Linked DNA regions of Tribolium castaneum. The protein of the gene in region 2 interacts with the protein of the main gene of each other region in a biochemical or structural test. Links are inferred from orthologs where the notes say so. Each region holds a gene or a part of one and is shown on either strand. Other genes may lie near its edges.

The links.
Region 1: of the proteins of Cdk9 (region 2) and Fcp1, one has a biochemical effect on the other in vitro, tested with the Homo sapiens proteins (3 studies listed by BioGRID). The link is inferred for Tribolium castaneum from reciprocal best matches to the Homo sapiens genes CDK9 and CTDP1.

What each region holds. Positions count from the first base shown.
Region 1 is NC_087396.1:10,632,749-10,637,047, reverse strand, and holds the start of Fcp1 (RNA polymerase II subunit A C-terminal domain phosphatase), read right to left. Parts: upstream 2,958-4,299; 5' UTR 2,918-2,957; coding exon 2,700-2,917; intron 2,649-2,699; coding exon 2,495-2,648; intron 2,442-2,494; coding exon 2,071-2,441; intron 1,590-2,070; coding exon 428-1,589; intron 1-427. Other genes in the region: Rab2 (ras-related protein Rab-2), read right to left, coding at 3,561-3,659, 3,885-4,065, 4,122-4,299. UniProt on the Homo sapiens protein: Processively dephosphorylates 'Ser-2' and 'Ser-5' of the heptad repeats YSPTSPS in the C-terminal domain of the largest RNA polymerase II subunit. This promotes the activity of RNA polymerase II.
Region 2 is NC_087394.1:32,585,459-32,589,688, forward strand, and holds Cdk9 (cyclin-dependent kinase 9), read left to right. Parts: upstream 1-1,525; 5' UTR 1,526-1,751; coding exon 1,752-1,858; intron 1,859-1,928; coding exon 1,929-2,013; intron 2,014-2,060; coding exon 2,061-2,437; intron 2,438-2,494; coding exon 2,495-2,762; intron 2,763-2,961; coding exon 2,962-3,255; 3' UTR 3,256-3,433; downstream 3,434-4,230. UniProt on the Homo sapiens protein: Protein kinase involved in the regulation of transcription.

The DNA.
Region 1 (4,299 bases), on a different chromosome or scaffold from region 2:
GGCAACAAAGACATGCACGAACTATTTTTCTGTTTTAAATAAAGTGAGAATTTGCATCAACCAACCATTTTTTAATTACAATTTTGAACAAATATTCATAATTACATTGCCCCCAACCGCAAAAGGCAAGAGTACCAAAAAAAAAAAACGTTTGTAATTATAAAACAAAATGTCAAACTGAATAAAACTAATTGCCGACTTTCGACCAGTTTGTCAGATAAAGAAGATCCTAACTGAAGTTGGTTGAAAACAAATTCGTCGCCCTACATTATTTTTAATTGACGATTTTTTATTAAATAAAAGTCTTGGTTGCTGCAAATTTAATTAAGATTTTATGGACAACGCTTTTTTTCTATAGCTGGTACCCTAGTGTCCGGTTTAGGAACACAATAAACGTATTCCCCTTTCACCTAATTTTTAACCTTACCTCCTTATCCATATCCGCTATATCTGCGCTGGAAAACGACATGAGAGGATTAATCGTGTCCATAAACCTTCCACTGGGTGTCCTTTTTCGCATAGCGGGCGTATTGTGCTCTGGATAACTTATAATATGCTCTGGACTGCTGCAATGAGGCGGTGGATGCCGGTTTTTTGAGCCTTTGCTATTCAAAGCAAAAATCTTCTCGTCTACGTGCTCCCACCGTTCTGCACAACACCACAGCCAATCGGGTGTAACAATCTTCAAGTTCTTCTTTCTTCTGCCGGCGTTCACCTTAGCAGTGCCTGGCCTAACAGCCACCAAATGTGTCGTGTCGTCCTCCAGCTCTTGCGTAACTTCAGCACCCAAACTCTTGGCGATTTGGTACGCTTTTGATTGTTCTAATTTGATGTGAGTTGGCACCAACCCGCTAAAAACCAGCTTGTAGCCCTGTAGCACCTGACTTCGCACCCCGGGAATCACCTTCTTCAAGTCGGGAACCTCTCCCGATTCCATTTTATCATAAGCGTCATAGAAAGCTTGATGAATACGTTTTAGTATATCTTCTAGATAGGAGAGATAGTCATCGGGGTCTTCAACTTCTACTAAATGATTGTTTATTTCGATTGCGTTTTTTGTTTCCGGAGGGGTTTCAGTTTTGGTGTCCCCTTCCGTTTGCGTTTTACTTTCTTCAGGTGGAGGCTTTTCGTCATTAGTTACTGCTTCACCATTCACACCTTTAGATTCAACATTTTCAATTTTTTGTTCGCTACTGTCGTCACCGTTTTTATTTTCATCTACTTTATTATTTCCTTCACTATCTTCGGTATTTTCTTTACTCTCGTTTTTTGTACTCTCAGATTCATTTGAAACCTGATTCTCAACTTTACTTTCCTCGACATTTTCACCATTTTTCTCACTGTCATTTTCTGTCGCTTTACTATCGTTATTCTGGATTTGTTCGTCTTTTTTCTGGTCTTTAATTTTTGTTAAATCAACTCCCTTGTTATCATTTTCATGTTTGTCTAAACCAGGGGGTGCGTTTATGTCGCCGGTGTGTTGAAAAAAATGGTACGGCTTGACATGAATCAAATTTGCGGCGTTCGACCACACGTCCTCTCTGTCGTCAATAATACACACCATGTTGTCCCCGCAAGGAAATAGAGCCCTAAATATAAAAAATTATGTAACACAGCGTATCAAAAAATATAAAAAAATATTTTCGCGAACTTTTAGCACAATTGTTGTTTTAAATATCACGAAGATAGTCTAAGACTAGAAAATTAGATCGAAACTGTTACTTTAGCTTGCTTCTCTCAGTTTAACAAGTTGGTTTTAAATTTTTAATCCGATATATTTATTTATTGTGCAAGTTCGTCTTAAAGTACCTTCGATTTGAGAGTAATTAAGGCAAAAATTACTTTTAATTTTGCTTTCTTGTCCGAATTTATCAAGTTTTTCATCCTGGTCTCATTTTTGCCTTTTTTTTTTCGAAAGCTAGACCTTCTACACTCAAATATGGTAGAGTGAACATATGCAAAGTGATTCAAAAACACTTGAAGAGAAAAACTATTTACTTATGATTTTGAAAGACTCAAAAAACAGGAATAACGGAATGATTTTTCAGATTTTTCTTTTCAAATACGTACTTTAAGTTCGCCTTTTTGCTAGTTGGGTCAAAACACTCATCCCGCGAGAGAATACGATTTGAGAAAAACTTCTGGTCCCTGTCCAGAACCGCAGCAATCATATGTGCGTAATTCCTTGCGCCAAAGGTGCAAATATGCAGCTCGTAAAACGGGTAAATATTGTTCAAAAACTGATGGGTTCCGGGCCTCAACCTTGTGAAGTACCAAGGTGAATTGGGCCCGTATAACTGAAAGCGATAGATATCCTTGATGTTCGGCTGAATGTGGTCATTGGTTGTGTGGATCAAGGTCTGATCCAAGTCCACAAGCAGGACAAGTTTCCTGTCTCTAATAAGCCGATCAACGTCCGCTTTGCCGAGTTTCTGTGCAAGCTGCAACAATGCAAGTCAAACCCCCGCAGCGGCATTTTATATAACGCAACCACCTCTTCGCTGACTTTCAAGTCAGGTATGGCATGCACCATGGGCACGGAAGCCGCCACACTGACGTCGTTTTTCCTCAAATCCGTGCCGCATTCTGCGCACATGTCGTTCATCACCGTCGGATGCGTGCATTCTTTCAATTCGCACAAAGTCTCGCTGAAAATTCGAGCGTGAGCTTTCGCGCGCCTTTTCAAAACTGTTGCTTACCCTGGCTTGACAATGGCGCCTTCCTGCGCCACAATCTTAAAAATTGTTCCGGCCTGTGTTACCTTCAACTTGCGTTGTTCCACCTTGGAAGCCCCGTCAAAATCATACAGAAGGATTACTCTTCCGATCGAGACAGTGTTCCCTTCGCTCACTTTCCATTTTAAAATTTTTATAGGTTTTGTTTGTTGCTGTGATATGCACATAGTTTTTTCCGCCATCTTGCACGGAAACGACTTCACTCATGAACGCAGAACGCGGCCTGATTGGACGACGCGTGCACTTCCGGGTGCCATTACTCACGCGCCCGTTTCAAATTTTGGGTAAAACAAACACAAACTGGCAATACAACTTATATTTGATTATATTACATGAAGCTTACATAAAAAATTTGACGTTTTACAATACAAATTTATTTAATGAGATAAACACTACATTTCTTAATTAAGTATAATAGTCGCAATAAAACACATAACACTATTATCACCAATAACAAAAATAAAGTTGGTTTAAAGTAAGATGTAATGCTTCTGAAACGGCTTTTCGGTTGGTACTCTATAAAATATGAACTCAAAACAATAAATATGTGACCTGTATTGGACTAACTATACCACACTCTTAAAATAATCACAATAATAATCCTTTCATTACATAAATTAGTGGGGGCCAATATCACCATATGTATCAAAATATTTGAAAAGTTTTGTCTCTAAAGGTTGTTGAACGATGGGGTAAAGTGCAACTTGCTAATTTGGAAGATATCAGATCATTAATTTATGTAATAAACCTGTGCAGTCACTTTCAATTCTTTAATAAGGGTTTCTCTCTTACACATAATGTAACCCTCAAGACAGACAAGTCATCTTAACAGCAACTCGAACCCTGCGAACCCCCGGCGCCGCCTGCACCAGGAAGCGATGGATTTGTGGGGGAATGTTGGGGGCCAATCTTGATTCCATTTGCCTGCACAATTTCAACAACAAAATTTAAAACACAATAGTTGTGAATTTGAGTTGGCAGCACTATACGTGTGACGTCTCAAGCTGCCAACTTAATTTCAAAGTCAGAAGAAAGTATCACCAAAAATGGGGTAATGAACTTGCTAATGTATAAAATTATTGATTTCTAAAGTTTGTGTAACCTTTAGAAAATGCCAATTAGCTTAACAGAGCAGAACCGCTGATTTACCTCATTGTTAATGTCAAAGACTCCCTCTTGTATTTTCTCATAGATCTCTTTTGCTGTGTTTATAAACGCTTCTTCAACGTTGGCGGCCGTTTTTGCTGAAGTTTCCATAAAGACTAGTCCGTGTTCTCTGGCAAAAGCTTCTCCTTCTTCCTTTTTCACTTCTCTCCTACTCTCTAGATCACTGGAAGGGTTTAGTTAACACTTTTGAAAAAAAAAAAAATAAAACGGGATGAACACCTTTTGTTTCCAATCAACATGATGACCATATTTGAGTTGGAATGCTGGCGGGCATCATCAAGCCATGTAGTCAAATGGTTGAAAGTCTCCCTCCTCGTAATGTCATAAACTAAAAGAGCGCCAGCAGCCCCCCGATAGTACGACCGCGTTATAGATCTAAAAGCCTCCTGTCCGGCAG
Region 2 (4,230 bases):
GATCCTTCTCATCCCTTCAACTGACCACCCTCATTACGTAAAGAATGTAAATACCACCGCAGAGCCAACTGCGGAGGAATTTACGCTAATTTCAAATGTATAGATGTTTGTTGTAGGGTTGTACAATAGTATAATCATCGAACTATGTGTGTAATTATTACGATTCATTTTAAACATAATATTTTCGGTTATTGTTTCGTATGTAATATTTTTTACTTAACTATAAATGTGGATGTGGATTTAATCTAACAATATTATATCACTGTATTTGACACATTCAGACAAAGAAATAAAATGTTTAACATTAAGCTGTTGGTTTTCATTCCCCCAGCACGCCGCAAGGAGGATTTGGATACGTAGTTATTTTAAGAAAAATGAAATGTTTTATTTGGTATAATTCAAGTGGCAGCTTACTTCAAGTTTCTGTCTCACAAGAAGCTTTCAGAAAAAAATTAAACTCAAGAATAATATCAACTGATAAATAATTATAAACCAATAAGCACAAAATATGAATGATCGCTAATTGCAAGCTCCCTGATTAATTATTCAACCATTAAAACCTTCATATTGAATTATAAATCGATCCTTCGGAGAGAAACAATATTATTCTCTTTCTTTAAGATTTATATCAGTTAGAAATTCTATTTATTTTTAAGTAGTACCGTTGAGGTGCCCTTCCAGTTAACAACAATTTAACAGTCTTGTTAGGCATTTTAAACATATTATTAGTCAAGCCAATTTTTGTCCGATTGGCGGTTACAGGGTTGCAACTCCTTCAAAACCTGCTACCAACTGAAACATTGATTCTGGATCACTTTGTATCAAAAATGAATACACAGACCAAAATTAGCTTGTCTTCAAAAAAGTTAATTTAGGAATTCCTTCTTACCTTTTGCTCCTGCGATGAAATTACACGCGAAGATGCTTCTTCCAAAGAAGGAAACGAAGGAAATAAGATGAAAACAGGAAGGACAAGGAAAAATATTAATTTTCACAATTCGACGACACTTGAATATAACGGCGGAGAGTTCTCAAAAATCTGAAAAGCTCTTACTTAAAATAGTGTTTCAAACACAAAACACAACGTCATGGTACCTTTTTTCCCTTTTTTCCGAACCCAGAGTACCATCAAGACACTTCAAGACCATGGAATATCAGCGACCTCTTCACAAAATGAAATTAAGTACTATTCGTAAACAGAAAACTGTAATCTTCTTAAATCAACAAAAGGCACAACAAAAAATATGATTAAGAACGCAAAAGTGTTAATATTGATTACTAAAGTCTTAATTTTTACGAATGATAATGATATTATCATTTCCTATTTTCTTTAAATAAATAATTATATAAATAAATTTGTTGGTTTACTGCGTTTGTAGTTAGAACATTTTGGTAGCAGTGCCAAAATGCTAAAAGTTATCAATTGGTGTTACAATTTGGTAGATTTTTTTTTAATTTCGATAAAATACTGTATTTTTCGAGCTGAAAACCATTCGCGAGCAGGCTCACCCAACCGCGCTTTTTTTCCGTGACATTGTCTATTGTCATATGTCATTCCTGGAGGTTATGTTTTGATTGTGTGTGTTTTTAGTGCAATTGTGATTCAGAAAAAAGCAGCGGAAATGCATTTAAGTACTTTAAATGTGGTGTTTTAAACCTTCACACGTTTCTTCTTAATTGACGAAAAACTGTGCTAAATATTGCCTTGTCTAAAGCTTGTGCAACGTTAGACAAGAGGCGATTTTGCAATCATGAATATGCGAGATAAAGAGAAATACATTGAAAATTTCCATTTCCCGTTCTGTGATGAATCGGAAAAATACGAGAAAATTGCGAAAATTGGCCAAGGAACGTTCGGGTAAGTGACTTAGTTGGGGTTACTTGGGGTCACATATTGTGCCCCATTTGTTGTATTTCTCCGATTGTAGTGAAGTGTTCAAGGCGAGGGACAAAAGTAATCCTAAGAAATTCGTAGCAATGAAAAAAGTGTTAATGGACAATGAAAAAGAGGGCGTAAGGGGTCATTAATTTTTTGCAAAGCTTTCAAACTTGTATTCTAGTTTCCAATCACAGCTTTGCGCGAAATACGAATTTTGCAACTATTGAAACACGAAAACGTTGTTAATCTTATAGAAATATGCCAAACTAAGGCTGCATACCGCAACAGATACAAGTCAACGTTTTATTTAGTGTTCGATTTTTGTGAACACGACTTGGCCGGGTTGTTGTCAAACGTCCACGTTAAGTTTAGTCTAGGAGAGATAAAAAAAGTAGTGCAACAATTATTTAACGGTCTGTATTACATACACAGCAACAAAATTCTTCATAGAGATATGAAAGCCGCCAATGTGTTAATTACAAAGAATGGTGTTTTAAAATTGGCCGATTTTGGCCTAGCTCGTGCATTTAGTACCAATAAGAATGGACTGCCAAATAGGTGAGTTCAAACAGTAAATTAAAAAATTGGTCACTAGTTTGTAATCTACTATTTCAGATTTACAAATCGTGTCGTTACGTTATGGTATAGGCCTCCAGAACTGTTGTTAGGTGAAAGAAACTACGGCCCCCCAGTTGATTTGTGGGGGGCTGGCTGTATTATGGCCGAAATGTGGACAAGGTCCCCCATAATGCAGGGCAACAGCGAGCAACAACAGCTCACTCTGATTTCTCAACTTTGTGGCACCATCTGCCCCCAGGTCTGGCCAGGAGTTGAGAATCTGGAGTTGTACAAGAAGATGGAACTCCCCGTCCAAAAGCGAAAAGTAAGTCCCGTAGGAACAAAGATCGCTTCAATTATAAGCCTAGAATATTTATTTAATCCTCTGTACGAGGTAATGTTTCCACCACGTTCTGAACTGTAGTTTATAAACCGTAATTATTTACATATAAATTCGGAAAAAATGTGATTAAACAAGATCACAGATTTTATTTTTATTATTATTATTTTTTAATCTTCTCCAGGTGAAAGAGAGGCTGAAGCACTACATGAAAGACCCGTACGCTTGTGATTTACTCGATAAGCTGTTGGTCCTCGACCCCGCCAAACGGGCCGATGCTGATACGGCCCTCAACCATGACTTTTTCTGGACTGACCCAATGCCATGCGATTTGAGCAAAATGTTAGCCACTCACACTCAAAGCATGTTTGAATATTTGGCTCCGCCGAGAAGACCGACACAAATGAGGCATCATTCGTTGCCAAGACCGACAACTTCCGCTGTGCAAGACAGCGGATACCAAGATAGGGTTTTTTAGTTGTAAGAAACACGGACATTGTGGTTATTTTCAAGTAATGTGGAAATTGTTTCTAAAGTGGAAACATAACTGAAGGTTTTTCGGGAACCCTAAAATTTGATGTTACTTTTTATTATCTTTTTGTAACGTTTAATATGATGTTACTTAGTTAACATAGCGAATAAACTGTGTAAAAACGCTTGGTGTTTTTTTGGGGTGGAATGAAATGACTTGTTAGTACATATTATATATTTTATTGGTTTGACTGCACTGCCATCCGGCCTTACAATTCAACAACATGGCACACTGTACATGTATCTGTAAAATAATATATATGTATCTGTACATATCTGTTAGCTTGTTTCATAGATCCTCTACATAGGTAAATAACATTCTTGAAGGAGAAACCTTCATTCAAGGCACTTCAATAATCATTGTCTTCTCTTCATTTAATTAGATGTAGTTTCCTACCCATTTCAAATTGTTCTAAATTAACGCAATAACATTGTAACTCTGTTGCTAATTTAGTTGAGCTTACCGAAAGTTTTGGCAAAAAGAACTGGTAAATAAAATGAACCACTCATAACAATGACCTTTCAGAATACTGATTACGAAACCGTAAAATTTTGAAGGCAAATATCACAGAATGCCCAACAAATTACACATTAAATCACATTTAATTGTAAAACATTGCGGAGGACGTCAAACTTAACAAACGAGAAATTAATCAATCATGGCATATTTACATTTTCGGGCGCGGTTAAATTTAACCCCTCCTTCACTTAATTAACTTAACATTAAATTGAATTTATCTAAGACATTCTGTATATACACAATAAATAACAATTCTTGTCACCAAATTTGAACGATCTGAATTACAAGCATTAAGGATAACCGTCAATGTAGAAAAGCACAGAGTGAGGTATATGTTACGATAATCTAATAATAACGTACAATTCACACTTTATAGTTACGATCTTTAAAATAAAGACATGG